3 linked regions of the Callithrix jacchus genome follow. The protein of the gene in region 1 interacts with the protein of each later gene in a pairwise test. Links are inferred from orthologs where the notes say so. Each region holds a gene or a part of one and is shown on either strand. Other genes may lie near its edges.

Region 1 (10,039 bases):
TGCAGGCTCTGCCCTGCTGCTGCATTCTCCGCCCTGCTGCCATGGGCTACGGCCTGCGGTGGAGTCTCTGTTGTAGTGGGTTGCCTCAGCAGCAGCAGGCTGCGTCAGTCATGGTCGTTTACCTCAGTAGGGGCGGATTGCCTCGGTAATGGCGGACGCCCCTCCGCCACAGAGCTGCACCGTCCTGGGTTCAGCTGTGCTCGCGCCCGGAGCGTTGGAATCGCCATTTTGTTTGTCCCACTGCGCTGCCCCAAACGCTGCTTCCCTGGAATCTCCTGGGCTGGCTCACTGTCCAAGTCCCGCTCAGTCTCAAGTCTCAGATTGCCGGTTTAACAGGGCACCCAGACCAGTGCTCTTTGTGCGGAGCGCTGTGTAGCACCGCTGCGCTACAGTGCCGGCCAAAACCTCTGCCTTGCGTCCCGCATCTCTTTTATACCTGGGAATTTCCCCGTTCTGTGGGCAACAAAGATCCGTCTGGAAATGTGGCTCTGACTCACCCTCCGCACATTCACTGAGAGCTTCAATCCTGGGTTGTTCTCACCATGCCATCTTCAGTCCTCCCCCACACAGTGATTCTTATGCATACTATGGTACCACCTTTTCTAAACTAAAAATGTTTGTTTTATAATTCTCACTGGAAAATCTTGAAACAATCTTTAGAATATTTTTCAAGTCACACTTAATTTTTTAGTTTTTTGTACTTGGTGATGTAATAGTCATGTGAAAATGTGAAAAGAAATAGCATGAGAAGAGAATTCTATTATTAGAGGTATTCTAGAAACTTAGAGGTAGATGTTCACCTTGCCTGCTTCTCTAGATGTTGCCTATCACATCCCCCTTTTAAAATGAACATAATTCACCAGTCCTAAGACAGGTCTCAAAGCAGATTGGGAGTTCGGTAAGAATTTGTTGTATTGATTTAAATGAAATAAACAATTGAATATTTAGAATGATCTTTGCCTTGTCATTTCATATAAGTGATGAACTTACAGTGTGTGATTTCAAATTTGTGATGTGAATTATTTTAGTTTCTCAACTCCCTATAGTTTTGGAGTGTGAGAGAATGTGTGCATTTGAATATCAAAATCCCTTCCTTTCTACTGGGAATTTGGTCGTTTAATAACTTGAATGTATCCCAAGATTCAGGTATATATTGACTGTGTTGCACTGTACTAATTATCATTAGCACGGTCCTCAGACCCAAGGAGCTTAATAAAATTATTTGTATGTTATTTTTTGTTATTGAAGTTAATTGTTTTCATATTTAAGAAATTATTATTTTCAACCTGAGAAAGCTGATTGCCAAAAAAAGAAATGATTATTAAAAGATGATTATTCTTGGAAAGGCTGGAGAGGGATAACATGGGAAGAAATGCCAAATAGAGGTGACAGGAGGATGGAAGCAGCACACTACCTTTCCATGTATGTACTACGCAACAATCCTGCATGGTCTGCACATGTACCCGAGAACCTAAAGTACAAAAAAAAGTAATCAAATTTAAAACAAAAACGATTATTCTCAATATCTGTCATCTACTTTCTCTGCTAAGATAGGAAATAAATGGTAGATAGGTAAATAAATGGTAAAATATAGTATTAGAGCCCCTCTACAAAGAAACTGTGGTAATTCCTTTTTAAATTAACTTCCAAATCTGCTTTGTAAGTTCAGAAATGTGTAAATTTCATCTTTTTAAAGCAATGAATAATACTTTGCAACTTATATTATGCACAGTAAAAAGCAGAATAGAAATAACAGGAGTTAATATGAACTTAAAGATGCTCCTTATTTCATTCTTATGCTTCAATGAAGTATATTTTAAGGCTATTTACAATGACATATATTTTACAAACCAGTTTTCAAATGACTGATATGATTTTTCCTTTCTTGAGTTCACTCAAGAACAAAAAGGTTGACAGTGGTGTGGAGAGAAATACAGTGGATTTGCATATCCCATTAAATGGTTATTAAATGTCTTCATTAGTTGAGAATTAATTGTATATTAACAGTTTTTTTGGGGGGGTGGGAATGGAATGTTGATCTGTTAACCAGGCTGGGGTGGAGCAGCGCGATATAAGCTCACTACAACTTCTGCCTGCCGGGTTCAAGCAGTTCTCCTGCCTCAGCCTCCTGAGTAGCTGGGACTGCAGGCACGCACCACCATGCCTGGCTAATTTTTGTATTTTTAGTAGAGATGGGGTTTCACCATATTGGTCAGGCTGGTCTTTAATTCCTGACCTCAGGTGATTCACCATCCTCGGCCTCCCAAAGTGCTGGGATTACAGGTGTGAGCCACCCTGCCTGGCCATATTAGCAGTTTTTTAAGAGAATTAGAAAACTGTTTCCTCAACTCCAAGATGTTATCAGTTGTAAAATGTACTCATGTTTTATACTACTAAGAAAAATAAGCCTCTGATTAAGCAACATGCCATCAATTGTAAGATATATACCTATGGGGGAAAAATAAGTAGTGTTTAGCTGAGATACCTCCCTACTTTCTGAAAAACATATCAGGGTTTTATTAGTAAAGGAAAATGGGAGAATGGATATTGGGTGAGAGTTATCATCATTTAATTTCCATATCATTATAAGCCTCTTAAAATGTCCATTTTAAGTACATTATGGCAAATCTTTTTAAAATAGTGGCATTGGGATCTTAAGAAACTCTTTTCTCACCTCTTTATACAATTGAAATTTATTTAATTGTTGCTGCCTCCTTTCTATAGCTTTTTCTTTGGGTATTGTTTTTATCATTTCAATCAATTTAACAATTTGATGCAATCAGATAATTCTTTCCTAAAGTTTGACTTAGAGGTTAGCATTTTACCCAAAAAGCTACAGGGTAGTCTCTAAATTAGAATTTATCTTTTCAATTCCATAGGGACCAAGGTATTTGTTGGTAGAACTGAAGAGATCTAATAACCAGAACAAAATGTTCTGGCTTCTTGAAAAACAATCTTCATGGAATTTATTCCAGCTTTTCTTCCAAAGGTGTAATGGCCCCCTTCCTTAGGTCAATTTTGACACTTCTCTATCAAGTTTTCAGAAATGTAATGAGTTCTTGCTTCTTCTGTTGTATATGTGTTAGTGATAGGGGATTGTTCAGTATCTTCTTAGATAATATCATTGGAATATTTTTCAAACTGTGACTAAAATGTCTTTGGCATTTTCCATTTTATGCCCTCCCTGTCTTCTGTATCTGTAAGGAATGGACGTGACATTAAGACTTTTCCATAGAACACATGAGTAAGGATTAAATAACAAACTATATGAAATCCTTGATAGCCCTGAACAAGCATCTAAAGGGCATCTAAAGAATTATTCTACTCCATCTTTAATAAGTCATGGTAAAAACTATGGGTAGGTAAGTTTATGACTGTATTTTAATGTTTAGGAATATCATTAAGATTGTCACACTTTGAACAGGCTCACAAAATAATCTTCAACTTGTTAGTACTTTGATTTTTTTTGAAAAACAGAAATTCTAAAAATCACTTATGGGATATCTGGTGTTTGGGGGATGATGTCTGAAGTGAATCTGTTCTGTTGGCCTCAACCCCACATCAGACTCATCGGAGTCTGCATCTCTTTTTCTTTTTCTGCACATCTACTTTTGTTTCTTCCTAAGTGACCAGTAATGTAGGAAGCAACTTTTAGCTCCCCTATAGAGCTATAAACCTGTAAAGGAGACTTAACATTCACATTAATTTGCAGAAAGGTGCTTATGAAAATTCAGAGACTTGGCAGGCTTTGGAAGACGTTTATATAACATTAAAGAATGCTCTCTTCTCTAAATGATTTGATCATTTTAACAGTATAGATTAACCCACAGGATTTCTAGTAGAGATTTTCATTTGAATAGAATGGCAATAAAACAAATTACTAAGGTGACTAATGATATGTATATATAAACTTACAAATGCCATATTATTTTGCTTGTAGGTATCATGACATGATTCTAGTTCTGCACCTCCTTAACTATTCTTATTTTTATTTTTTTTAGAACACTGATATTTGCATTTAATGGGGAATAAAAGATGAAGAAGGAAAAAGAATATATTCACTAAGGATTATATCTGCTTACTGCTACAGACCTATGTTTTAAGGAATTATCCTCCTTTTTGCTTAGAAGTTCATCAGCTCTGTGGTCAGACTGCATTTATCTTGTCATTGCCAAAAGAAATCCTCATCAGAATGTAAGAGTATGTCTCTCTCTCAGTGCTATGGAAGGTGATAAACTGATACTCAGTTATTAAAGTTACATCTCACCGCAGAAAACCATTCTTCAAAGTGAATAGAAACCAAGCCCTTGTGAACACTTCTATTGAACATGACTCATGGAGAAGAGCTTGGCTCTGATGTGCACCAGGATTCTATTGTTTTAACTTACCTAGAAGGATTACTAATGCATCAGGCAGCAGGGGGATCAGGTACTGCCATTGACAAAAAGTCTGCTGGGCATAATGAAGAGGATCAGAACTTTAACATTTCTGGCAGTGCATTTCCCACCTGTCAAAGTAATTGTCCAGTTCTCAATACACACACATATCAGGGATCTGGCATGCTGCATCTCAAAAAAGCCAGACTGTTGCAGTCTTCCGAGGACTGGAATGCAGCAAAGCGGAAGAGGCTGTCTGATTCTATCGTAAATTTAAACGTAAAGAAGGAAGCTTTGCTGGCTGGCATGGTTGACAATGTGCCTAAAGGCAAACAGGATAGCACATTACTGGCCTCTTTGCTTCAGTCATTCAGCTCTAGGCTGCAGACTGTTGCTCTGTCACAACAAATTAGGCAGAGCCTCAAGGAGCAAGGATATGCCCTCAGTCATGATTCTTTAAAAGTGGAGAAGGATTTAAGGTGCTATGGTGTTGCATCAAGTCACTTAAAAACTTTGTTGAAGAAAAGTAAAGTTAAAGATCAAAAGACTGACACGAATCTTCCTGACGTGACTAAAAACCTAATCAGAGATAGGTTTGCCGAGTCTCCTCATCATGTTGGACAAAGTGGAACAAAGGTCATGAGTGAACCATTGTCATGTGCTGCAAGATTACAGGCTGTTGCAAGCATGGTGGAAAAAAGGGCTAGTCCTGCCACCTCACCTAAACCTAGTGTTGCTTGTAGCCAACTGGCATTACTTCTTTCAAGTGAAGCCCATTTGCAGCAGTATTCTCGAGAACATGCTTTAAAAACACAAAATGCAAATCAAGCTGCAAGTGAAAGACTTGCTGCTATGGCCAGATTGCAAGAAAATGGCCAGAAGGATGTTGGCAATTTCCAGCTCTCAAAAGGAATGTCAAGCCATCTTAATGGTCAGGCAAGAACATCATCAAGCAAACTGATGGCTAGCAAAAGTAATGCTGCAACATTTCAAAATCCAATGGGTATCATTCCTTCTTCCCCTAAAAATGCAGGTTATAAGAACTCACTAGAAAGAAACAATGTAAAACAAGCTCCTAACAATAGTTTGCTTTTACATCTTCTTAAAAGCCAGACTATACCTAAGCCAGTGAATGGACATAGTCACAGTGAGAGAGGAAGCATTTTTGAGGAAAGTAGTACTCCTACAACTATTGATGAATATTCAGATAACAATCCTAGTTTTACAGATGACAGCAGTGGTGATGAAAGTTCTTACTCCAACTGCGTTCCCATAGACTTGTCTTGCAAACACCGAGTTGAAAAATCAGAATCTGACCAACCTGTTTCTTTGGATAACTTTACTCAATCCTTGCTGAACACTTGGGATCCAAAAGTCCCAGATGTAGATATTAAAGAAGATCAAGATACCTCAAAGAATTCTAAGCTAAACTCACACCAGAAAGTAACACTTCTTCAATTGCTACTTGGCCATAAGAATGAAGAAAATGTAGAAAAAAACGCCAGCCCTCAGGGAGTACACAATGAGGTAACCAAGTTCAATACACAGAATTATTCAAGGACTTCTGTGATAGAAAGCCCCAGTACAAATCGGACTACTCCAGTGAGCACTCCACCATTACTTACATCAACCAAAGCGGAGTCTCCCATCAATCTCTCTCAACACTCTCTGGTTATTAAATGGAATTCCCCACCATATGCCTGCAATACTCCATCTGAAAAGCTAACAAATACTACATCTAACCACTCAATGGACCTTACAAAAAGCAAAGAACCGCCAGGAGAGAAACCAGCCCACAGTGAAGGTGCACAAAACTCTGCAACTTTTAGTGCCAGTAAGCTGTTACAGAATTTAGCACAATGTGGAATGCAGTCTTCTGTGTCAGTGGAAGAGCAGAGATCTAGCAAACAGCTGTTAACTGTAAACACAGATAAACCGATAGGTATGATTGATAGATTAAATAGCCCTTTGCTCTCAAGTAAAACAAATGTGGTTGAAGAAAATAAAGGATTTAGTAGTCAACCAACAGTTACAGAACCAGGACTTTCTGGTTCTGAAATAGAAAATCTGCTTGAAAGACGTACTGTCCTCCAGTTGCTCCTGGGAAACCCCAACAAAGGTAAGAGTGAAAAGAAAGAGAAAACTCCCTTAAGAGATGAAAGTACTCAGGAACACTCAGAGAGAGCTTTAAGTGAACAAATATTGATGGTGAAAATAAAGTCTGAGCCTTGTGATGACTTACAAATTCCTCATACAAATGTGCACTTGAGCCATGATACTAAGAGTGTGCCATTCTTGGGTATGGCTCCTGCTTTGCAAAGAAGCACACCTGCCTTACCAGTGTCCGAGGACTTTAAATCGGAGCCTGTTTCACCTCAGGATTTTTCTTTCTCAAAGAATGGTCTGTTAAGTCGATTGCTAAGACAGAATCAAGATAGTTACCTGGCAGATGATTCAGACAAGAGTCACAGAAATAATGAAATGTCACTTCTAGAATCAAAGAATCTTTGCATGGTCCCTAAGAAAAGGAAGCTTTATACTGAGCCATTAGAAAATCCATTTAAAAAGATGAAGAACAACATTGTTGATGCTGCAAACAATCACAGTGCCCCGGAAGTACTGTATGGGTACCAGGAAGAGCTGAAATTGAGCAGAAATGATCTTGAATTTAAATATCCTGCTGGTCACAGCTCAGCCAGCGAAAGTGAACAAAGGAGTTGGGCCAGAGAGAGCAAAAGCTTCAATGTTCTGAAACAGCTGCTTCTCTCGGAAAACTGTGTGCGAGATCTGTCCCCGCACAGAAGTAACTCTGTCACCGACAGTAAAAAGAAAGGACACAAAAATAATGTGACCAACAGCAAACCTGAATTTAGCATTTCTTCGTTAAATGGACTGATGTACAGTTCCAGTCAGCCCAACAGTTGCATGGATAGCAGGACATTTTCATACCCAGGAGTAGTAAGAACTCCTGTGAGTCCTACTTTCCCTGAGCACTTGGGCTGTGCAGGGTCTAGACCAGAATCTGGGCTTTTGAATGGGTGTTCCATGCCCAGTGAGAAAGGACCCATTAAGTGGGTTATCACTGATGTGGAGAAGAATGAGTATGAAAAAGATTCTCCAAGACTGACCAAAACCAACCCAATACTATATTATATGCTCCAGAAAGGAGGCAATTCTGTTACCAGTCGAGAAACACAAGACAAAGACATTTGGAGGGAGCCTTCATCTGCTGAAAGTGTCTCACAGGTCACAATCAAAGAAGAGTTACTTCCTACTGCAGAAACGAAAGCTTCTTTCTTTAATTTAAGAAGCCCTTACAATAGCCATATAGGAAATAATGCTTCTCGCCCACACAGCACGAATGGAGAAGTTTATGGACTTCTGGGAAACATGCTAACAATAAAAAAAGAATCAGAATAAAATGTACCTGCCATCCAGTTTTGGATCTTTTTAAACTAATGAGTATGAACTTGAGATCTGTATAAATAAGAGCATGATTTGAGAAAAGCATGGTATAATTGAAACTTTTTCATTTTGAAAAGTATTGGTTACTGGTGATGTTTAAATATGCATACTAACTTTTGCTTAACATTAGATGTCATGAGGAAACTACTGAACTAGCAATTGGTTGTTTAACACTTCTGTATGCATCAGGTAACAACTGTGAGTAGCCTATGAATGAAATTCTTTTATAAACATAAATAATAGGCATAAATTAAAATGTAAAATTCCATTCATAGTGGATTAATGCATTTTGCTGCCTTTATTTAGGGTACTTTAGTTTGCATTTCAGAAGTCAGCCTACATAACACATTTTTTAAAGTCCAAACTGTTAAACAAGTCTTTAAAGGATAATTATCCAATAAAAAAAAAGCCTACTGCTGATTCACAGCTTATTATCCAATTCAAAACCAAATTAGAAAAATATATGGTTACATTTTTCACTTTTGCTAAAAAAAAAAAAAAGTGTTTATTTTTAACTCTTGGAAGAGGTTTTTTTGGTTCCCAATGTGTCTGTCCCACCCTGGTCCTTTTCAATATATATTTCTTTAAACCTTGTACTACTTAGTAAAAATTGATTACAATTGAGGGAAGTTTGATAGAACCTTTAAAAAAGGCAGATTTCCATTTTTTGTATTTTAACTACTTTACTAAAACTCCTCGTTTTACAGAATTAGAAAAGTTAACATTTATCTCTAGGTGGTTTCCTGAATAGTTCAATATTTAAGAAATTGTTTTTAACAGAAGCAAAATGGCTTTTCTTTGGACAGTTTTCACCATCTCTTGTAAAAGTTAATTCTCACCATTCCAGTGGTACCTGCAAGTCTTATGACCAGGATTCCTTAAAGCTGAACTCAGACCACTTGCATTAGAACCATCTGGAGCATTTGTTTTAAAATGCAGATTCATAGGCAGCATCTCAGATCTACAGAACAAGAATCTCTGCAAAGTGGACCTGGAATCTTCCATCTGCATCTTAACACGCTCCCTAGGTGTTTCTTCTGCACCTTGATCTTTGAGAACCTTGGCTGATGACTTTCCTCAGAACATGAGAGACTGTAAAACAAAAGCAAAAACTATCTGATGCCTCTATTTTCCCCAGTACAGTCACATCAGCTCAAAATTTGCAATATTGTGGTTCATATATTACCGTGATGTCTTTGGAAATCGGGTTCAGAATACTTTTTATGACAAAAAAATTGGGTGGAGGGGACAACTTTCATATCTGGCTCAACATCTCAGGAAAATCTGTGATTATTTATGTGTTCTAATGAGTAACATCTACTTAGTTAGCCTTAGGGATGGAAAAACAGGGCCACTTACCAAACTCAGGTGATTCCAGGATGGTCTGGAAACTTCTCCTGAATACATCCTTAACCTTTATTAAAACCATTGTCCTAAGAACAATGCTAACAAAGGTTACAACATTTAGTTCAAACCCAAGAAAGGCACTAAACTCAGATTGACTAAACAAAAAGTACAAAGGGCACATATTCATGACAGAATTGTACACAATCGCTCCATGGGACGTATTATTTTAAAATGGTAATGAAAAATAAATGTTGATACTGTCTTAGAAGAACTTAATGTATTATTGAAGCCACATGGGGTTTCAAATTTGAAACAAGTCTCTTTTTATGTTCAGTTTGTACAATTCACAATTCATTCACCAGATACTTTATTTTTAATTGTGAACCAGGTTAGCAAATGACCTCTCAAAAATTATTCTATAATCACTATTAGTTAGAAGGAAATTGATTTAAAATTGTTCTACTTGAAGTGGTTTCTAAGATTTTTATATTAAAATTGGGTGTGATTTCCTATTATGATCTAAAACCCTAAATGGTTATTTTTCCTCAGAATGATTTGTAAATAGCTACTGGAAATAAGAGTGGGTACTATGCAGCATCATGGAAAAGTGAAGGAGGCATAGGCTTATTCTGACATAAAATTTCACGGGCCAGTTGAATATATTCTACTCCATGTCCATACTGTGACAATCTTACTGTCAACACTATATAAATAAGCTTTTAAGCAAGTCATTTTTCTTGATCATTGTGAAAAGTCTGGAGCCTTAGAGGTATGTCAGAAAAATATGTTGGTATTCTCCCTTGGGTAGGGGAAAATGGCCTTTTTACAAGAGAGTGAAATTTAGGTCAGAG
Region 2 (10,621 bases), on another chromosome or scaffold:
TATCATCTGAGAGCAAACACCCTCCTATTTCCTTGTGTCTCAGGTAGACACTTAAGCTATTACTGTTTCTCAGCATTAAGGGCGTATTGTCACAGAGATAAATGCATGAGGGCAAGAGGCAGTCTCAAAGAAGAGTTTTATGAAGGCATAAATGTAATGCTCAGTGTCAGAAAAAAATTTTTTTTTGAGACGAGGTCTCTGTCACCCCAGGCTGAAGTGCAGTGGTGTAATCTTATCTCACTGCAGCCTCAACCTCCTGAGCTCAAGTGATCCTCCAGCTTGGCCTTCCGAGTAGCTGGGACTACAGGTGCCACCACACCTAGTTAATTTTTGTATTTTTTGTAGAGATGGGTTTTCACCATGTTGCCCAGGGTGGTCTTGAACTCCTGGGTTCAAGCAATCCTCCCATCTTGGTTTCCCAAAGTGCTGGGATTGCAGGCATGAGCCACCACACCTCATCTGTCAGAAAAATTTTAAAGCGAAAATAAAGAAGCTCTTAAGAATTTTCTCCCCTGAGTGGTATTTTAGACAGAGAGCAGGGAGGGTAGAGGTAGGAAAGGAAGAGATGGGGTCAGGTTGAACACCTGTGAGACACTAGCAGTGCAATATGGCGGACATCGACAGCCTCAGTGCTAGGAACACAGAAACTGAATCTCCTGCAAGGAGGCAGGTGTGCATCTATATATAAGTCAGATGACCTGTGTTCCTATGAGTGCAAATTTGGAAAACTCACTCAGGTTTCCTTGTCAGCAAATTGGTGATAAAATCAACGTCGTAGGGTTGGTGTGAAAATGCAGCATGAAGTGCCCATGCACATGCTTTTTAACTAGAAGCCAATGTCATGCTGGGGTAGCAGTTCTAGGAAGTTGTGGCTGCTGGCTCAGTAGCATGTGGAGCAGGCTGAGGAAGTTCTTGACTTGAATCTGAGCAGAACCACTAAGAAGTTAGCTAAACTGCCTGGACAGTGGGAAAATCCTATGTGGGTATGTAAAAGGAAGAGAAACAATGTGAGGAAGAGAATGCAGAGATCCTGGCCCACAGAACAGCATCGGTGATCCTTAAGTAGCTGCGTGAGCTGCTTAGAGAAGTTAATTTTCTGGTTATAATTCCCAGCAAAGGAGAGGACTGAATAAGGAGAAGAAGAAAATTCCTTTCTCTGGTTAGGTTCATCAGATCAAGCAGTGACATATGTGAAGAAAGCATTTTCTGTGCACAAAAAATCAGGTCTGTATTTTTATAAAAGCTGTTTGTGCATTGTGCATCACTGGGGAGTTAGTTGCTGTTGGTTTAAAGTATAATATGAGGCATTTCTAGTAACTTCCATGATATGAATAAAGAAATTGAAAATGTTAGATACATTTACAGGAAGATGTAGAAAAAACTTTAGTCAACAATTTTGAAATATTTTTTGAAATTAAACTCAGTGGAACCAGTCTTATCTATGGTCTCAAGCCATGTCTGTCTACACCTTATTTCTTTTTTGATCTCATTTCAGGGAATATTACACTGGCTGGCCTCTTGTTAATCTTATTCTGAGCCAGAAAAGGTAAGGAAGCTGCATTTTCAGAATTGCATTTGAGTAATTTGTGAAATTGCATATTGCAATTTGCCACAATTTCTAACAGTCCTATAACTTTTTTTTCTCAACTGGGTGTTCATATTAACTAGGAGCTAGTTTCTCTTCTAGCTGGAGAGAATTGTTCAGAGTTGGAAGTAAAGCCAAAAATGTGTATTCTTCATGTTTGATTGCAAATGCATAGAAAATTAGAAACTCAATATATGCAAAAGATTTATGTGGAATTTAAGTACCTTCAAGGGGCAGTGGACAGGATAAAAAGTTATTTTTTACCTGTTTGTTTATAATTATCAAATATCAAGACTGAGACAAATGAGGTTGATTTAGAAAGAGTTGGCTGCAGGTGCTGGTTGCTCAGGTGGTTCATTTAAACTGCAGGTCAGTAACCTTGTCTCATGGTTCTGGTGCTCAGGTATCAGGTTAGGTCTATCTTTCTGCTTATGTCCTTTGTTACCCTCTGAGGACTTCAGTCCAACACAGATCAATAAAGAATAAGTTACATAAATATGCTCATAGATGGTCATTCCTAGAAAAGAAATTGCATTCAACAATATCTGGGTTCTACAGAACAGACATGCCTCCATTTATGCAACAAATAAGAAAAGTGTCTCAGTGACAGTGGGGAAAACACGGGATGTGCAGGTATGTAGGTAAAGTTGGGTTGGAACTTTCACTCTGCCGCATGCATGTGGGTGACCTTATAAAAGAAATGTTTGCTCTCTAAGCCTCAGTTTTCCCATCTGTAAAATAGACAGTCCTGGGGAATTTTTGAGGATTAAATGAAATAAAAGTGAATCAACCTATGCAAGCCTGACTATTGTGGTGTCCAGGCTAGAAAGATGCTCGATAAATATTAGGTTTGTTTTTATTTCTACAAAAAATGTGATCCTTAAGAGCTCCATCCAAATTCAAGTTTCAAATGTCAAATCACATTTTGCGAACTTTGGTTCATGTTCAGTTGAGGTGACCTCTGCATTATGAATTAGTAATCTCATCTTTCTTATTCATCACCACCAAAAGTATTATTGCAGGTTCAGTGAATCTCCTTTCCTTTATTAAGTCCATAAGGGTAGGGTTTTATCTCTTAGATTCTCTTAAAACAGACCAATTTATGCCCACATAATATGAATAAACCCGTTCCTATGATACTCTGGAACAGATAAGAGTATTCCAGAACCCATATCCTCCTGCTTGGCCTCAAGCTCAGAGAATAAAGCAATAATCCAAAGGCACCTTTAGGCATGACACCCTTCTAGACATCTGTAGGATTCCTTCTTCCCCTCCACTTTTCATCTTAGCTTTTGCATTCCTGCTTTTGACAGAGTTTTATTTTGCCTCTTGGTAGTTTCTTTCCTACAGAAAATTTTGCCCCACTCTTTCCCCCTGATCTTTCCAAGTCGAAGCCTTCAGCAAATATTTGTTGAATGCCTGGATTATGCTAGGTGGGCGTTATGGACCACGGAAAATGCTGGAGATATAAGACATGCACTGTCCAATCGCAGCGCAGGTTGTGTTGACAGGTAAGATGAGGGCTTTGGGGAGGCAGTGTGCACGTTCCACTGGGCCAATGTGCTCTTCACTTTATTCAGGCTCTTGGCTTTGGAATGTATAAGACTTCACTAGACAGAGAAGGGGCGGGATGGGAAGATGAGGAATATGAACCTTCATGGAGGGGCTTTCCTTCCTCTTCACTGCAAAACATACCTGTCCCATATTGACTTCCTTTGCTTTCCCAGGTAACATTTAGCTCATCTTACTAATCATAAATGCTAGTAAATTAGTATTACCCATTATATATAACATGACTGAATTTTAAGAATTCAATGCCTTATCCCCAAACTATGACTTAATGGTGAAGATTTCAGTCCCCATTGTAGGATATTTTGTAAGCAGGCAGTCATTTCAATGTAGTATGTGGGTGCCTCCTTAGGCAGGTCAGGGGTGAGGTGGAAATGAGGCTGGGACCCTGCTGAGTAGAGGCATTGTCTTCAATACCAGGCTTCAGGGTGCTTTTTGGTCTACCCATTAATATGAACTACCTTGAGAATAATCCCTTCTTTGCTGTGGTCACAATTCAGGTAGAATTGGAATAATCATCCTCTTCACTCTGCATTAAACCAGGCAAAGGTTCCATCCCTGGGTACCATTGTCTTTCTTGATAGAAGGGTGAGTCAGAAGAAAATTTACTCACTCCCATTCATTTTCTGCTTATTATTTCCTGCAGTGAGCTTTCCTTGTATAATAAACAGCTTCTGTGGGTGTCTGAGTTGCTCTAGAAAGAGAACATGCTGTTCCTGTGTGTAGAATGCCTTCTAAAGGAAGCATCACAGTGAACACAGAGTAGAAGCTTGCCTCACAGGTGGCAGGAGTTTGTCTGCAGTGTTCTGCATAGAGCAGAGTCAAGCCACCTTCACTTCTGATTGCAGGCATGAGGTAAATGGGCCCTTGGTCTCTCTCCTGGATTCAAGTCCTTCTTAGCCACTGATAGGTCATGTGACCATAGGTAGGTTGTTTAACCTTCCTGATCATTCATTTTCTCAAGTATAAAATGGGGATTATAGAATTTGCCTCACAGGCTTGCATATAAAATAAGAATTTTTGAGAGTGGGGCATAAAATGTCCAATAAGTGGTAGCTCTCTATGAAGCCACTGTTGTTACTGGGTTCCTTTCTCACTATGTGGCTTCAGGTAGCTGATAGAAGCTCTGTGAGCCTCAATTTCCTCATTTGAAAAGTGGAGTCAATATTATCTCACTGAGCTGGTATGAGGATTAAATGAGATGCTGTGCAGGTGCTTAGCACATAGTTAGGTATGATGTTGATACTGATAGATGTGTTTTCTTCACCCTCACCCATCTTTGCCTGTTGGCTCATGGTTGAAATTCCTTCACGATGGTTTCCATTTCCAGAGATATCTTGTTAACAAGTATACACCACCAAACGAAGTTGATTTTTTAACCCATCATTTAACATTTTCTCCATAAGGTGGCAAGGAGAAGGGAGTATATGGGGACTGGGTACCTTGAGAGACCCCAAGACGGGACAGAGAGGCTGAGATTGGCATGTTGTCTGCTGCAGTTGCTTGCCAGTGACACACTCTTCCTGTCCAAACTAACTTCTCTGCCTCAAGGAAAGACTGCCTTTCAACCGGAGAGAAACCAGAACTCACAGCTTTAATGAAAATTGGACTTGGAGTGGGGCAGTGGAGACTTTTCACAGCCACTGTTTAGCTGAAGAAGCAGGTGCTTCTCCATCTTTGGAGCCTGTCTTCACTACCTGTGGACCTCATCCTTATCAACCCAGAACCCTCTCTCTATTTTGGCTAAACACCGAACAACTGAGGCTGGCCCTGTAAAATGTTCCCTCCAAATGCCCCCTTGGTTTTCCTCTATTAAAGATCTGGATCACAACCCTCAAAAACCACGTCCCTTATGCCACCTGAGTAGATGGTTTGATGATTAATTAGGCACAGATGTGACACGAGTCTCACAATGGCCCGTGGGTCACATGATACTTTCCTTTTCCTTTTCATCATCGTCAGCTGCCCTAAAGCCAGTTGAGCCTGTGGTCCTAGTCTCACAACCTGGGGGTCCTGGGGTGTGTGAGGGGAACACCCCATTAAGCTCGGGGAACTGGGGCTGCCACCAGGGGGCGCGAGGGTCCCTCATCTGAGGAGGGAGTGGGCAGGCGCCTCCAGGGGAGAAGGGCACCGCAGCCGGAAGCACAGGTCTTCGCGGTGCCACTTCCACCAAGTGAGTTCGAGGAAGTACCTGGGATCTTTGATATAACGCCAAAGGCCTTTCCAGAGAGCTCTTGAAGAGCTGAGAACCCAAGCCTTCCACCTCTAGTTCACGGCTTTGCCACTCTAGGACCCGAGGTTACGTTTGCTGCTGGGGATCTGACAAACCCAAAGCCTCTCTGGTTTCACCACTGGATCCTTAGAATCGGACTTCTGTACTGAATGGCACCCATGTAAGTCAGGGGAGTCAGGAGCTGGGGACGTGATCATCGAAGTATGGTCCCCAGACTGGCTGTATCAATGTCAGCATCTCCCAGGACCTGGTTGGAAATGCATGTTCTCGGGCTACTCCAAAACCCTTAATATGAGACTGGGGCTGCGGGGAGCGCCATCTGTGCGCCACTGTCCTTGTGGGTGGACCAGGAGGCGGCTCAAGGGTGCTCCCACTTCGGGGTCACGCGCGGCGCCGGGTGCTCCTGAGACCGCCGGGCTCCTCTGTGGTCACGTGGGCTTAGGCACTACTCCCCTCTACCGTCCTCTCGGTCTTTAAAAGAAAAAAGGGGCTTATCGTTAAGTCGCTGGTGATCTTTTCAGTTTCTCCAGCCGCTGGCTTTTCGGATACTCACTCCCCCGCCCGGAGGCAGCTGCGGGAAATAACTGCCTCTTGAAACTTGCAGGGCAGAGAGCAGGCGGCGAGCGCTGGGCTGGGAAGGGACCACCCGAGCTGCGACGGGCCCCAGGGCTGGCGCTCGGAGCCGGGGCTGCACGAGGAGCGCTCGCTTTCAACAGGTGGCCGCGGGGCGCGTGCCGGGAGGCCCCTACTGCGGGAAAAGCACGTGTCCGCATTTTAGAGACTGCAAGGCCGGTGTGTTTATCCGCAAGGTAAGCGCCCTTTCGCTCAAGGTGTGATTTCTCATTTTGTTTGAAATCCTGCGATGAGAAACCAGTCATGTTGAGAACAATAAAAGACCAAAAAAAAAAAAATCACCAAAACCAACTGTATTGCAAGCTGCCGGAAAGATGGAAAATACTTTTGATCATGCTTTGATCAAATGTCTCTATTCAAGATACCGGCAAGTTAACTTATTTAGTTTGTGCTTGTGAGCTCTGGATTGATTTTGCTAATATGAATGTCTGGGAAAAAAATTGCTTTTTCTCTGGTTTTCCTCGGTGGATTTCCCCAGTGTAGATGAAATGACTGTTGAACACACTTTCTGATTGAAGTTTGAGGACCTGGGAAGATGTACATGTCTCAAACAGATGATAGGGGTTTTTTAATGTATTGGCATTCCTCAGCCATGTCAGCAAGCTGAGTTCCTCCTTTCCTGGGCTAAGCGCTATCTGGTATCCTTTATTTGCTGAAGAGGGGTCCAACTACTGCCCTCTAACCCCCTCCGTGTTATTCTTATTGGAAGGGTAATATTAAGTCAAGTAAATGTCATTTTTGTGAAAAATAAAACTTCGAATGGACTTCTATTGAGGAAGATAAGGTCGATTTAATTTTACTTGCTGTTTAAAAAGCAGAATTGTGTTTTGGTGTGGTAGGCAACACTTGGGAGGAAAGAGTTTGCCTTATTTTGTTATATTTCTAGTATTTACATGGGCATTCCATTAGAAAGTTTTCCTTTTGCTGTAAGTTTCATAACTCAGTGTCTAGTTTCCTCTGTGTGAGGGGAAAGATGTTTAAAAAGTGAACATGTGAAAGGAAAGGTTTTTCTGAGAGTGTTGTGAAAAGCAAATGTACTATGACTATGAAAACATGCTTCACATTTTCAACTATTTTTTTCTGAAGAAAATCAATATATTTTGGCATAAGTTCTAGAAGAAGGAAACTGTAAGGATCTGTTCATCAATAGGCATTAGAGCATACACCTTAGGATTGCATTTTACGTTCAAGTCTTTTTTTTTAGATGAATTTCTTGAACATTCTCATTTCAAAAGCTATCAGATGCTTGTAGCACTTAAGTTTTGCTCAAGACAGAAGTCTCTGAAATCAATTAACATGTTTAGGACACATTTCATAGTGTTCTGAGGGATGTGAATAAATCTAATCACCATTTACACTTCTCAAAATGTATTTATAATTCAGAAAAGGTGAATTTAGTAGTAAATTCAACTTATAACCATTTAATTAACATTTAATAGATATTGATATGGTCACTCTTAAAAATAAGACATTGACATTTTCTATAAATGATTCAACATGTAATGATTCAAAATACATCTTGTGATAATTTTAGGTGATGTTTTGAATCATTTTGTAGAACATGAATATGAATAAAATATAAAATACTGAAGGCTGAACTTGAAGTGTTTACTAGTAAATTTTTGATAATACATCTAGAACCCTTGAGAATTGTATGCTTGAACATTAGATTTCATAATTCAGGTGTCCAGCATTTTGTTTTACATGTAATAGTACTTTTAAATAATTAGGCTACTGCAGTGTAACTTGCATACAGTAAAATTTAGCCTCTGTAAGTGTACCTCTGTGAATTCTGACAGATGCAGTTATATAACCAGCACCACAGACAAGACACGAAACAGCTCCATCGCCCCAAAAGTCCCCCATGTACCTCTTTGTAGTCAACCCTCTCCACCTACCCCACTGCCCCTGAAAATCACTGATCTGTTTGCTGATTATGTAATTTTGCTCTTTTTTTTTTCCAAAATGTTATACCACAAGTTTTGCTCTTTAGTATGTTTTTACTTATGCATATTTTCCTTTCTTCACTTTTCTTGAAAGAAAAACCTGTTCTTCTGTTTTTATAGGCTGAGTCTGTGGTATTTTTGTTTGAATTCTAGTACCTTGGGATAAATTAAGGCAAAGACAATGCTATTTGCAAATGGGAAACTAGAGACTTGAGCTAAGTGTTAAATTCATATTGGTCTAACAGATTTAGTTCTTAGCAGATTTAGATTCTATTGCGGTTTAAGCCTTTGGTTATGGTATATTATCATTGGTTATCCTGAATTGAAATAGGCTATTAAAAGTTGTTATTTATATCATATTAATAGCACCATTCTGTTCCAATCTTTGAAATTTAAAACTTATTTCTGTATTTGAAAAAACTACTTTCATTATACCTCAGATTAAGAAAGCTACACCTGAAATTGCATATTATCAAATAGTGAGAAGCAAAAGAGGGATTGAAAACAACAACTTGAAGACATTTAAAATGCAGAGTGATTACGATTGCTCAGGGTAAAATATTTATCTTCATAGGAGCTTAGGTATGTACCCAACTTACTTGTAGATGTCAGGATTTTTAAATTTCTGTGCTCATGCCTTGAAGTCTAGATTTTCCTGCAGGGTGCAGATGCAAAATCTTTTGTAAACTAATAGTTTTTCTTGTTTAATACAGTATTTAATTCACTATACAGTTAGGAGCCTGTTATTGGTAGTTATTTCTAATATATATATGTGTGTGTCTATATATACACATATAAAGTAGATGTCTTTTTCCTTTTTCTTTCATTCTGTGAAAAACAGTCTCAGCTGGGTATGGTGGCTCATATCTATAATCCCAGCACTTTGGTAGGCTGAGGCAGGTGGATCACAAGGTCAGGAATTCGAGACCAGCCTGGCCAACATGGTAAAACCCCATCTCTACTAAAGATACAAAAAATTAGCTGGGTATGATGGTGCACTGTAACCTCAGCTACTTGGGAGGCTGAGCAGGAAAATTGCTTGAACCTGGGAGGTGAAGGTTGCAGTGAGCCTAGATTGTGCCGTTGCACTCCAGCCTGGACAACAGGATGAGACTCTGTCTCAAAAAAAAAAAAAGGAAAACAGTCTGTGTTTTAAATATGTAACTTACCTTGCATACCCAGTTACAGTGGTAGTAACTAGGATATGCAGAGTGGCAAGTTTATGAGGAACTAGTTGGCCTTTCTAGCTGGAATTAAGACAGGTCTTGAAAATGAAGGACTTTTAGTGGAGAATCTTTGTGTGGGTGTACTTGACAGAGGGCAGGAGAGTTAGGGTGACCTGGAAAAACACTGCTGGACTTGTATATGTTTCCTCAAAGCCAGACTGCAGCATTTTGTTGGTAAATTGTTTTGTGTTCTGTCAAACCCAGGGTTGGAAGGAGGTGTAGTGCATTCAGCCTAACTTTGGATTGGCCATGTTATCTTGCATCTCTTCACTCAGAATTCTCTCTAACCCTGTCCCAAATGAATATTTGAATTTGGTTCAGTTTCTGCAGAGCATTGTCTGTGGCTGTTGTGGGTATTGGGGAGGAGCAGAAACTTGCTATCAAGAGAAAAGACAGATGAACTCTCTCCCATGCCTGCCTTTGAGGCTTTGTCCTCTTACCCTATTCAAGCCCTCAAAACTATTTCCTATCTAAATAAGCACCAATTGGTTACTAGGATAATTAGCTTTTCCTCATTTTGGAAGGAAACAGGGTTTCTTGATATGCATGTTCTTAAGAATTACATGCAAAACAGTTTTTTTTTTTTTTTTTTTAGACTTGCTCTTTCACCAAAGTGCTAGGCTGGAGTAGGGCAATCTCGGCTCACTGCAAAAGTCTCAATATTTTGTTTTGAAAGAGTATATTGAAAGAGGCCAGGAGTTCGAGACCAGTCTGGGTAACACGGTGAGACTTGATCTCTACAAAAATTAAAATATTAGCTGTGCATGATGGTGCATGCCTCCGCCTCCTGGCTTCATGCAATTCCCCTGCCTCGGCCTCCCAAGTAGCTGGGACTACAGGCATGCACCACCATGCCCAGCTAATTTTTGTATTTTAGTAGAGATGGGGTTTCACTATGTTGGCCAGGATGGTCTTGATCTCTTGACTTCATGATCTGCCCGCCTCAACCTCCCAAAGTGCTGGGATTACAGGCGTGAGCTACCTCGCCCAGCCACCAAACAGTTTTTAGTGATGAGTTCTGTGGTGATTTTGGAGTGTTTTATCTTCCTAATTAATATTAAATTGATTAAAAGTCTCAATATTTTGTTTTGAAAGAATATATTTAAAAAGGCTGGGTGTGGTGGCTCATGCCTATAATCTCAGCAATTTGGGAGGCCTAGGTGTGTGGATCACTTGAGGCCAGGAATTTGAGACCAGCCTAGCCAAATATTGAAACCCTGTCTCTACTAAGAATACAAAAATTAGCTGGGCATGGTGGCTCATGCTGGTAATCCCAGCTACTCAGGGGGCTGAGAATTGCTTGAACCTGGGCAGAGGTTACAGTGAACTGAGATCGTGCCACTGCACTCCAGCCTGGACAGCAAAGTAAGACTCTATCTCAAAAAAATTTTTTTAAAAGGGATACATTTAAAGATAATAACTGGCCAGG
Region 3 (10,681 bases), on another chromosome or scaffold:
GATTCCTTCATGTCGGGAATCAGCTCAGGAAAGGCCTTTGTCCAGGCCCAAGTCTGCACTGAGGGGTGAGGGAATGCGGACGCAGGGGACTTCCTGGCCAGTCCCAGACTCTCTCTGGTCCTCAGGCCATGGATCCAGGACATCGAGGGAGCCAACGCCAAGGACCTTTGCAGCAGCTCTCCAGTCATGGGTCGATCTTTTGTACCAATAGGTGAGGTACCCCTCAAAGGGTGGAGAGAGGTGGGGACAAGTCTGCTTGGAACTTCCCCCAGGCACAGATGTTGTAAACGCCTTTCCTCACATCCTTGCCCCAGCCCTGTAGTCAGGGCCCCAGGAAGACTCAGACCCAGGAGTCCCCCGAGTTGCCCATCATGGCACCAGGGGCATAGTCCAGAGGGAGGCAGGGGATACTGGCTCCGCCCTACCTCATGCCTTTTCTGCCTGCAGCTGAGAAGCCCTGTGAGCAAGTCCAGTTCCAGCCCAACACGGTGAACACTTTGCCCTGCCCGCTCCTCTCCAACCTGGCGACCCGACTCTGGCTGTTCAGCGGGGCCCCTGTCAATGCCTCAGCCTCCTGCCATGTGCTGCCCACTGGGGACCTGCTGCTGGTGGGCAGCCAACAGCTTGGGGAGTTCCAGTGCTGGTCGCTGGAGGAGGGCTTCCAGCAGCTGGTAGCCAGCTACTGCCCAGAGGTGGTGGAGGACAGGGCAGCAGACCAAACAGATGGGGATGCCAGTGTGCCTGTCATCATCAACACGTCACGTGTGAGTGCACCAGCTGGTGGCCGGGCCAGCTTGGGTGCAGACAAGTCCTACTGGAAGGAGTTCCTGGTGATGTGCACGCTCTTTGTGCTCGCCGTGCTGTTTGCACTTTTATTCCTTCTCTACCGGCACCGGGACAGCATGAAAGTCTTCCTGAAGCAGGGGGAATGTGCCAGCGTGCACCCCAAGACCTGCCCTGTGGTCCTGCCCCCCGAGACCCGCCCACTCAATGGCCTAGGCCCCCCGAGCGCCCCACTTGATCACCGAGGCTACCAGGCCCTGTCAGACAGCCCCCCAGGGGCCCGAGTCTTCTCCGAGTCAGAGAAGCGGCCGCTTAGCATCAAAGACAGCGTTGTGGAGGTGTCCCCAATGTGCCCCCGGCCCCGGGTCCGCCTCGGCTCGGAGATCCGTGACTCTGTGGTATGAGAGCTGACTTCAAGAGGACGCTGCCCTGGCTTTAGGGGCTGTGAATGCTCGGAGAGGGTCAACTGGACCTCCGCTCCAGCTCCTCGTGGAATACAGCAGCGGTGCCCAGTCCTCGGGAGCCAGCTGGCCTGCTGCTCTCTGATCAAGTAGTGAGGCTCCAACCACCAAGACACCCGAACAGCCGTGGCGCCAGAGGTCCTGGCCAAAGATGGGCACCTGCCTAGGTGGGTGGAACAGTGCTCCTTACGTAAACTGAGCCTTTGTTTAAAAAACAATTCCAAATGTGAAACTAGAGAGGAAAGAGACAATGTGGAATGGCACGCACTGGCTGCTGAAGTTCATGGCTTCCCAGGCCACTGGAGATGCGTCCAGAGTTGTGGAGACAGAGTTGGAAACCTTCACCAACTGGCCTCTTCACCTTCCGCCTTATTCCGCTGCCACAAGCTGCCCTGTCTCACTGCAGACCTCAGGACCAGCTCGGGCTCCATGTGTTCTGCCTTGCCAGCCGGCCGAGAATCCAGGACCGCCTCGGGCTCTGTGAGGATCCAAAACCAGCTCGGGGTCTGTGCATCCTGCCTTGCCAGCCGGCTGGCTAAAAATCCAGAACCAGCTTGGGCTGTGTGCATCCTGCCTTGCCAGCCATCAAGGATCCAGGACCAGCTCAGACCCCGCGTGCCAGTGGAGGATGTCATTGTTGCTGCCATCATCCCACCACCTCAGGGACCAGAGGGCTGGGTTGGCACTGCGGCCCTCACCAGGTCCTGGGCTTGAACTCAGTTCCTGGACCTTTCCGGCCTGTATCAGGCTGTGGCCACATGAGGGAGAGGACAGCGTGAGCTCAGGAGAGACTCAGTGACAGTGTGTGCCTTTCCCTCAGAATTCAAGAAGAGACTATTGCCTGCCTCCTGCATCGTAGCCTGAGAATCGTGTGCCCTTCCTACCACATGCACCCTAGCTCCATTGTGGAACTCAAACACAAGGAACTAACCGTACCCTGTCCTCTCCCCAGGCCTCAATTCACCCCTCATCCCTCACTTGCCTCTACTCTAAGGGATATCAAACACTGCCCAGCGCAGGGGTCCTGAATTTATGTGGATTTTATATGTATTTTTAATACAATGCACTTTATGTCATTTTTTTTAATAAAGTCTGCAGAATTATTGTTTAATCCTGGCTCTTCCTCTTAAAGGACACTTGCTTTTTGAGGCTGGTCTCGTTCTGAGTTCTGAGGGGTTCTGAGCCACCTCTGCAGGCTCAGGTGAGCCAAAGTCAGCCTAGCCTGGCCAGTGACATCTCCCTGTGGAGCAGCTCTGAGTGGGGAGCTTCACCCACTGATAGGCAGAGGCAGGAGGTTGACTTCGGTGACCTCAACCCCTTTATTCTACATCCCCGATTTGGTTTAGCAGGGGTAGCGACACAGGAGGGATGTGACGGGGGCCCTTTGTTATAATTTTTAATTTTTCAAATCATGCAGTAAAATGGACTTTATTGATGGGGTTCTTGACATTTTGGCATGCAGAGAGTCATCGAACCACCACCCCAGTCAGGATACAGGAGACCACCCCCCTCATGCTGCCCCTTCGTCCTCAACCGTCCCACAGGACAGCTGGCATGGTGCGGCTTGACTTCCCACTGGCCCCTGCTCTGTACGCTGCTCATTCCTGCTGGAATTCCTGATGAGGTACGGCTGCTAGAAGAGAAGTCCAGGCCAGGCGCGGTGGCTCACGCCTGTAATCCCAGCACTTTGGGAGGCTGCGGCGGGTGAGTCACAAGGTCAAGAGATCGAGACCATCTTGGCCAATATAGTGAGGTGTGCCTGTAGTCCCAGCTACTTGGGAGGCTGAGGCAGGAGAATTGCTTGAGCCCGGGAGGCAGAGATTGCAGGGAGCCGAGATCACGCTACTGCACTCCAGCCTGGACAACGAGCAAGACTCCGTCTCAAAAAAAAAAAAAAAAAAAAAAAACGAAAAAAAGAAGTCCAGTCTTTCCTCATACCAGTGTAACTCGGCTCACACACAGGGTCAAGCTTCTAAACCTTTATTACTGATTAGTACAAACAAACAGGGCAATGGCAGAGGAGCGGCCCTGACGAGGAGGCCGCCCTTGACCGGGTGAGGCTGCACAGTGCCAGCTCCAGGCTGGGCCCGCCTGGCCCACCCTGGCAACACAAGCTTGACCTTGCCCACAGCTCAGCAGCAGAAAGGTTCTTGGACAGGGTATCAGGACACACACCAGGGCTGCTGTCACAGGACAATCTTAAAGGAGCTGAACAAGAGAAAAGTGGGGTGAGTTTTCTGCTGGAAGAGGAGGGGAGGGACTAAACCCAAACTCGCCCCTTCTCCCTTTAGCCCCTTCTTTGAAACGAGCTGTGTCTGTGTGAGTCAGTCCCCTCTGGAAGAATTCCCCCAGACTTCCAGAGGAAGCTTCTGGACCCACACACAGGGTCAGAGCTTCTAAACTTGTATTACTAAGTGGTACAAACACAGGGCAATGACAATAGCAGTGAGAAGGGGAGAGGCCTTGACAAGAAGAGCCGCCCCTGCCCGGGGTGAGACTGCCAGCTTAGCCGGCCATGGGTGTGGGGACCAGGGCTTTCTCTCACCCCTGGCACCACCTCCTGTAGCAATGTCCTAGGCTGGGACCTGCAGGTGCCCAGAAGGCAGGGGGACCACTGTTGTACCTGGCAAAGTCTGGGGAACGGGAGATGACGTGCTGGAACTCAGAGAGGTTGATGGTTCCATCCCTGTCAATGTCAGACTCCTCCAGGATCTGGGGAAGGGAGAGTTTCAGGCCAGAGCCACAACCCTTCCCTCCCGCTCCCAGGCCCAGCTGCTCACATTGTCAACGAGCTGCTTCATCTCGGACGCACTGAGCCGTGTGTCCTCGCTCTCTCCTGTGAGGCAGTTTACCAGCTGGCTCAGGTCTTCTCTGTTCAAGGTTCCATCATCATCAAAGTCTAGAGAGCAGACACAGGAAGCCAAAAGACATGGTCAGGAGGGGCTCTGAGGTTCCACAAACGGTGCCCATTTCCCAAGCATGGCCACCACAAAGCCCACGTGGGAAAGGGTGGTGTCCCACCGGGCTTTGGTTCTCACCGAAGATTCGGAAGGCATAATGGGACTTGATATCTGGCGTGGCTGTGTCACTGAACACACTGAGGAGGTCCAGGAAGTCCTCGAAGCTAAGGCTGTCTCTGGTTGGGGACGTGGAGAAGACTCTGCAGATTCGCTCCTTGAAGGGGTTGGCCTAGGAGAACAAATACCATAGGACGTGGCCCAGGTCACACACTCATCAAACACTATTAGAAACTTGGGAGAGCAGGTCATAGGATCAGCAGCAGGGAGCTCAGGCTCTCAAGGGTGAATGATCAGTGCTTTGGGGCCAACATGCAGGGCCATGGGGGCACAGGAGGGCAAACTGAGCCAGTTGGGGAAGGGACTGAGACAGCTTCCTGGGAGTCAAGTGTTTAACCCAAAGGCAGGTCATGTACAACCTAAGTGTGAGCAAAGAGGGAAGAAGAAGGCATCTTAAGCAAAGGGAACGAGATGGGCTGGTTATTTTAAAACACGAATGGTTAACTGAACACCTATTGTGTTATAGGCCCTGGCTCAGACCCTTTGCACAAAATTTTCACAACAGCCCTGTGAATTTGCAATCACCCTCTAGAACAGGGTTCCTCAAACCTTAATATGGTAACTCAACTCCTCTTAAAGGACAAAACTTCTTTGAACTTCCAAGAATATGTCCTAGAATCCCCATTTGAAAAGCACCATTCTAGAGAATTCTGCCAGGTGATATTAGTAAAGTCCTTGCCCCCAGAAAATTAGAACTAAGCAGAGAAATGACCAGAATGGGGACCAGTGACCTCATGATCTCAAAGCTAGCGGCAGATGGAGTTAGGGGGGTCTAGCAGGGAGGGAGTGGTGAGGGAGGGGTCAAAGGAGGGGAGCACTGGCACCTTGAGCTCTGGAAGGCTGAGGATCTGCTCGAAGGACACTTGTGCCCGAAGTGACGCCTCCACGCTCTGCTGCTCCTGGGGAAGCAGCTCACAAAACCGCTTGTGGGCTCTGGCAGAGAGAGGGGAACGGTTGGCCCTCTCAGCGATAGGTGTCCCTGTGTGTTCATTCCCACTCCTTGCCTGCTGCTCATCAACCAAGTGAGGAGCTGAAACCACGTACATAGAACTTCCCAGTCATCAGGCAACAGTAAGCAAAAGGACATGTCAGGAGGCTGTACAGCCTAGGAGTCTAGTCTTACGGTGAGTATTTACTGAGCATCTACTATGTGCTGGGCACTGATTCTAGAGATCCCCGAGGGATAAAGAGGTTGGGGATGGAGCCAGAAGTTGGCCCTAAAGAACTGGCCAGGTGCTATGGCTCACGCCTGTAACCCCAGCACTTTGGAAGGCCAAGGTGGGCAAAGCATTTGAGGTCAGGAGTTTGAGACCAGCCTGAGCAAAATGGTAAAACCCTATCTCGACTAAAATACAAAAATTTGCCGGGCATGGTGGCTGGTGCCTGTAATCCCAGCTATTCAGGAGGCTGAGGCAGGAGAATCACTTGAACCCAGGAGGCAGAGGCTGCAGTCAGCAGAGATCGTGCCACAGCACTCCAGCCTGGGCAGAGACTCTGTCTTGATAAATAAATAAATACATACATACATACATACATACAGGGAGAAAAAAACAAAACCAAAAATCTCATTATCACCTCCACTCCAGGGATCTCTTGCCTTCAAAACCTCCTTTTTAGCAGCCACCCTGAACTGTCCTCCTCCTCAGCCTCCATCTCCTTCCCATGAGATCATCTTTGCGCAGGAAGCCCAGGCATCTCCTCACTCAAGTGCCCGCCCTGCATATATCTGGCAAAAGGGCTTCCAGGTCAAGTTCAAATCTACTTGCTCAGAGTGTTGTCTTAGGCAGTTAGCAAACCTCTCTGAACCTGTTTCATTGTCCAGTACCTCTCTCCTAAAGATTAAATTAGGTCATGCAGGCAACCATTTAGCACAGTCCCTGGCACAAGGTGAGTGCTCAGAAAGCGTTAACGGTTCCTGTATTGTTCAGGTCAAGTTGGGAGAAGGAGCCAGACTCCCCAAGGCTTCCGTGGCTTAGCCACTGCGCAAAGCCGGCCCCTGCCGGACTAGAGCAGGAAGTTCGGCAGTGATGAAGCTAGTCAGCTCAGGGTCAAAGAGCACCTAACTTTTCTCGGAGGCTGCCACGCAGAGCCCCCGGCGAGGGCGGGGAGGGCGCAGCCCGGGCAGGGTCTCCCGGCCTCCAGCCCCAGCCCCTCAGCCGACCTCAGGCCGGCCCCCGCCCCTCCCTTGGGACAGCGCCCCCCGCGAGTCCGCCTCTAGAGGAGCCCGGGATCAGAGGCGGGGTTCAAGGCAGCACTTACAGGAGGATCTCTTGCTTCGTCAGGAACGTCAAGTCCTGGAATGCAAAGCCAGAGCGGGGGTTATCGGGCCGCCGGGAGGCCGTGACCGCCCCGCCGCCGCTCCCGGACCCCGCCCGGGAACAGACCGGCACGCGACTCCCTAGGGCCCGGCGTCCCGCGCACCTGATACTCGGCCAGCAGATCCTTGGACAGGCGACTGCCCGAGCCCCCCATAGCCGCGCCGCGCGCAACGCTCCGCCAACTCGCCTCGAGACGCCGACAACTTTCTCACTTCCGCCTTTGGGCCGCGTCTCAGCCCGGTCCCCGCGGCAACCGCTCCAGGGGCCACCGCCCCCGCCTAAACGCGCCCAGGCGCTCCTAGCCGGGTTGGCAGGCGAGCTCCCCGCTCCGGGCGGTCCCAGGCGAGCTGGGGGCGGGGTAAGGGGCGGGGCCTGATGCCCCGGGGCAGAGCCCAGGCCTCACGGCCCCGCCTCCGGGGTGGGCGGGACGAGCCACACCGCGCGCATGCGTGCTGGCTGCGCATGCGTCACGGGCGTCGCTTCCTGGCAGCGGTCCCTGCAGCCGCTGCCGGGAAGGTCGCGCGGTGTATCCTCCTCGGCTGCTGTAGGTGGTGGCGGCGGCAGCCCTGTGTGGAGTCCCATAGGGGCATCTGAGAAGTCACTAGAGCTGACGTTTACAGGAAACCTGGAGACTCGCTGAGTGGCCGGGGTCTTCGGCTGCCCCTCTGCCCAGCAAGGATTTTCTAGACGTTATCAGGCAATCGAGGCACCTGTCGCAGCCCCCAAGCCGCCTCTTCCAGAAGTAACCCGAACCTTGCTTCCTTCTGAGGCTATTTACTGAGGACCTACTGGATGTCAAGCAGTGTGCATAGTTTTCTTCGACTGCAAGGTAGGTATCCATTTTACAAAGGTGGAAATACGTAAGTCCAGAGGGATTTAGTGATGTGTCCGGGCTCCGGCGTTTAGAAAGTGATTGATCCAGTCCAAGGCACTTGTCTTCTTTTTTTTGGAGACACAGTCTCCCTCTGTCGCCAGGCTCCAGGCTGGAGGGCAATGGCGGGATCTTGGCTGCCTCCTGGGTTCAAGCAGTTCTCCTGCCTCAGCCTCCCAAGTAGCTGGGACTACAGGCGCGCGCCACCATGCCCAGCTAATTTTTGTATTTTAGTGGAGACGGGGTTTCACCCTGTTGGCCAGGGTGGTCTCCATCTCTTGACCTCGTGATCCGCCTGCCTCGGCCTCCCAAAGTGCTGGGATTACAGGCGTGAGCCACCGCGCCCGGCTCCAAGGCACTTTTCAAGGCTCTCCACTGCTGTTTGCATCATTCCAGCTGACATGCCATCCTTTGACCCCATCCCACCCCTAGACTGTATGCCCTAGGCTATAGAGATCAAAGCTGACCCTTTTGCTCTGGTCCCCTCTTAACCTCTAGGACAATGCTTGGCACATAGTACGTTCTCGGTAAATATTATCAAATGCATAATGAATGAATGAACGTATTCTACTGCAAAAGGTAAGGACGCCAAACTGCTGGGAGGTGGAAGTGGAGGTTGTGTTGGTCAGGCTGGGATTAACTCTTGATCCTTTCAATCCATTATAGTTGCTCATCTTTGTAAAGTCTAAATCTGAGTGTGTCATTCTCAGCTTATAACCATTAAATGGTTAACCCAAATCCTGGCCCTCTGTAACCGAACTTCCTCCTATTTGCTCTCTGTGTTTCAGCCGTTATGGGCTCTGAGTCCCTCTTCCATCTTATTCTCGGGGAAGCTTTTCCTGACTCTCTAGACTGGCTAGGAATCTACTTTGCACTTGAAGAATATCCAGTGCTTCTCCTTGGCAGCATGTGTCTAGTAAGACCCATTGTGTTAACACATGCATTCCATCATTGTAGAAATATTCAAGGCCGGGCGTGGTGGCTCATGCCTGTAATCTCAGCACTTTGGGAGGCCAAGGCGAGTGGATCACTTGAGTCCAGGAGTTTGAGACCACCATGACCAACGTGGCAAGACCCTGTCTCTACTAAAAATGTAAAAATTACCCAGGTGTGGTGGCACACAACTGTAATTACAGCTACCCAGCAGGCTGAGGCACCAGGATCCCTTGAATCTAGGAGGCAGAGGTTGCAGTGAGCTGAGATTGTGCCACTGAACTTCAGCCTGGGCAACAGAGTGACTCTGTCTCAAAAAAAAAAAAAAAAGATAACTAGATTGTAGGGCCATCCCAACATGATCATTTTTCTGTTAATAGCAGGTATTTCAGTCCAAGAAAGAGTTGGTCTTGTCATTAAAAGCTTAGGCAAAAAGCAGGAAGCTGTCATTATGTCTCCTGTACTGCACTTCCTTAAGAATAGGGACCTTGTTGGTCTCTTACAAGCCAAGGTGAATACCTGCACTACATGGTAGTACCTCTGTATAGTGAAGACAAGAGAATCAGCTTAGTGCCTGGTGACTAGCTGTGATCTAGATATCTCAACCACCTCACTGGGCTCTTAATCCTTCAGGGAACAACCTTCTGGTTTTCATTTTGCTTCCTGATAGGTTTTGTACACTGACCAGCCAGCAAGAACCTTTTGTGCCATTTGGCACATTTCTTATCGTAAATTGTTAAATAGGCAGTCTGAATCATCTGGCGGTCCTTGGTGAATCTGGTTAGCATATTGTCCCTCTCGTACCTGATCAACTCTTGATACAGTGGTAAAACCGAGCTGTTGGGGCCGGGCGCGGTGGCTCACGCCTATAATCCCAGCACTTTGGGAGGCTGAGGCGGTTGGATCACGAGGTCAAGAGAGCGAAACCATCCTGGTCAACAAGGTGAAACCCTGTCTCTACTAAAAATACAAAAATTAGCTGGGCATGGTGGCGCGTGCCTGTAGTCCCAGCTACTCGGGAGGCTGAGGCAGGAGAATTGCCTGAACCCAGGAGGCGTAGGTTGCGGTGAGCCGAGATCGCGCCATTGCACTCCAGCCTGGGTAACAAGAACGAAACTCCGTCTCAAAAAAAAAAACTCCGAGCTGCTGATATATTTTTATTTTTTATTTTGTTTATTCATTTTACTTTATTTTTTTAGATAGAGTCTTACTCTGTCACCTGGTCTGGAGTGTAGTGATGTGATCTTGGCTCATGGTAACATCCACCTCCCGGGTTCAAGCTATTCTTCAGACTCAGCCTCCCTAGTAGCTGAGATTACAGGCATGCACCACCGGGTCTGGCTAATTTTTGTATTTTTAGTAGAAACGGTGTTTCATCATATTGGCCAGGCTGATCTCAAACTCCTAACCTCAGGTGATCCATCTGCCTTAGCCTCCCAAAGTGCTGGGATTACAGGCGTAAGCCACCACGCCTGACCTGTTTTTTTTAAACAGAGTCTCGGAATTCTGTCACCCAGGCTGGAATGCAATGGTGCATTCTCAGCTCACTGCAACTTCTGTCTCCTGGGTTCAAGCAATTCTCCTTTCTCAGCCCTTCCCCCCCCCCCCCAGCAGGGATTACAGGTGGCCGCTACCACACCTGGCTAATTTTTTTATATTTTTAGTAGAGATGTGGTTTCACCATATTGGCCAGGCTTGTCTCAAATGTACCATCTTCACCTCCCAAAGTGCTGGGATTACAGGTGTGAGCCATCGCACCCAGCCCTCACTGTGATTTTGATTTGTATTTCCTTATTGATTCATGATGTTAAACATCCCAAATGTGCTTGTTGGCCATCTTTATATCTTGTTTGAAAACATGTCTAAGATTCTTTTTTTTTTTCCTCCTTCTTTTGGTTTTGTTTTATTTTTATTATCTCATTTTAAATTTTTTTACCTGTCAGGTAAGACTTTCTTTTGGTAGAATAAGATACTACATTTTGGTACTGAGGTTGGGATAATTTTTTTTAAAAAGATATTACATTAGCCAGGCCTGGTGGCATGTGCCTGTGGTCTCAGCTACTCAGGAGGCTCAGACAGATGGATCACTTGAGCCTGGGAGGCAGATGGAACGCTTAAGCCTGGGAGGCGGACATTGCAGTGAGCTGAGAATAAGATATTACATATTATCAGCCAAATTATGCTTAGCTTCACTTTTTTTTGTCTTTTACCTTGCAGCTTCAGCTCAAAGGATTAGCT

Evidence for each region.
Region 2: the proteins of NRIP1 (region 1) and ESR2 interact in a two-hybrid assay, tested with the Homo sapiens proteins (2 studies listed by BioGRID, with this or other methods). The link is inferred for Callithrix jacchus from reciprocal best matches to the Homo sapiens genes NRIP1 and ESR2.
Region 3: the proteins of NRIP1 (region 1) and CIB1 interact in a two-hybrid assay, tested with the Homo sapiens proteins (2 studies listed by BioGRID and IntAct). The link is inferred for Callithrix jacchus from reciprocal best matches to the Homo sapiens genes NRIP1 and CIB1.

What each region holds. Positions count from the first base shown.
Region 1 is NC_133522.1:21,968,424-21,978,462, reverse strand, and holds part of NRIP1 (nuclear receptor-interacting protein 1), read left to right. Parts: intron 1-4,001; 5' UTR 4,002-4,328; coding exon 4,329-7,796; 3' UTR 7,797-10,039. UniProt on the Homo sapiens protein: Modulates transcriptional activation by steroid receptors such as NR3C1, NR3C2 and ESR1. Also modulates transcriptional repression by nuclear hormone receptors.
Region 2 is NC_133509.1:98,953,538-98,964,158, reverse strand, and holds the start of ESR2 (estrogen receptor beta), read left to right. Parts: upstream 1-5,301; 5' UTR 5,302-5,547; intron 5,548-5,991; 5' UTR 5,992-6,196; intron 6,197-10,621.
Region 3 is NC_133507.1:19,350,456-19,361,136, forward strand, and holds CIB1 (calcium and integrin-binding protein 1), read right to left. Parts: upstream 6,920-10,681; 5' UTR 6,794-6,919; coding exon 6,743-6,793; intron 6,616-6,742; coding exon 6,581-6,615; intron 5,255-6,580; coding exon 5,146-5,254; intron 4,434-5,145; coding exon 4,283-4,433; intron 4,144-4,282; coding exon 4,025-4,143; intron 3,957-4,024; coding exon 3,868-3,956; intron 3,453-3,867; coding exon 3,431-3,452; 3' UTR 3,209-3,430; downstream 1-3,208. Other genes in the region: SEMA4B (semaphorin-4B), read left to right, coding at 126-211, 448-1,187. UniProt on the Homo sapiens protein: Calcium-binding protein that plays a role in the regulation of numerous cellular processes, such as cell differentiation, cell division, cell proliferation, cell migration, thrombosis, angiogenesis, cardiac hypertrophy and apoptosis.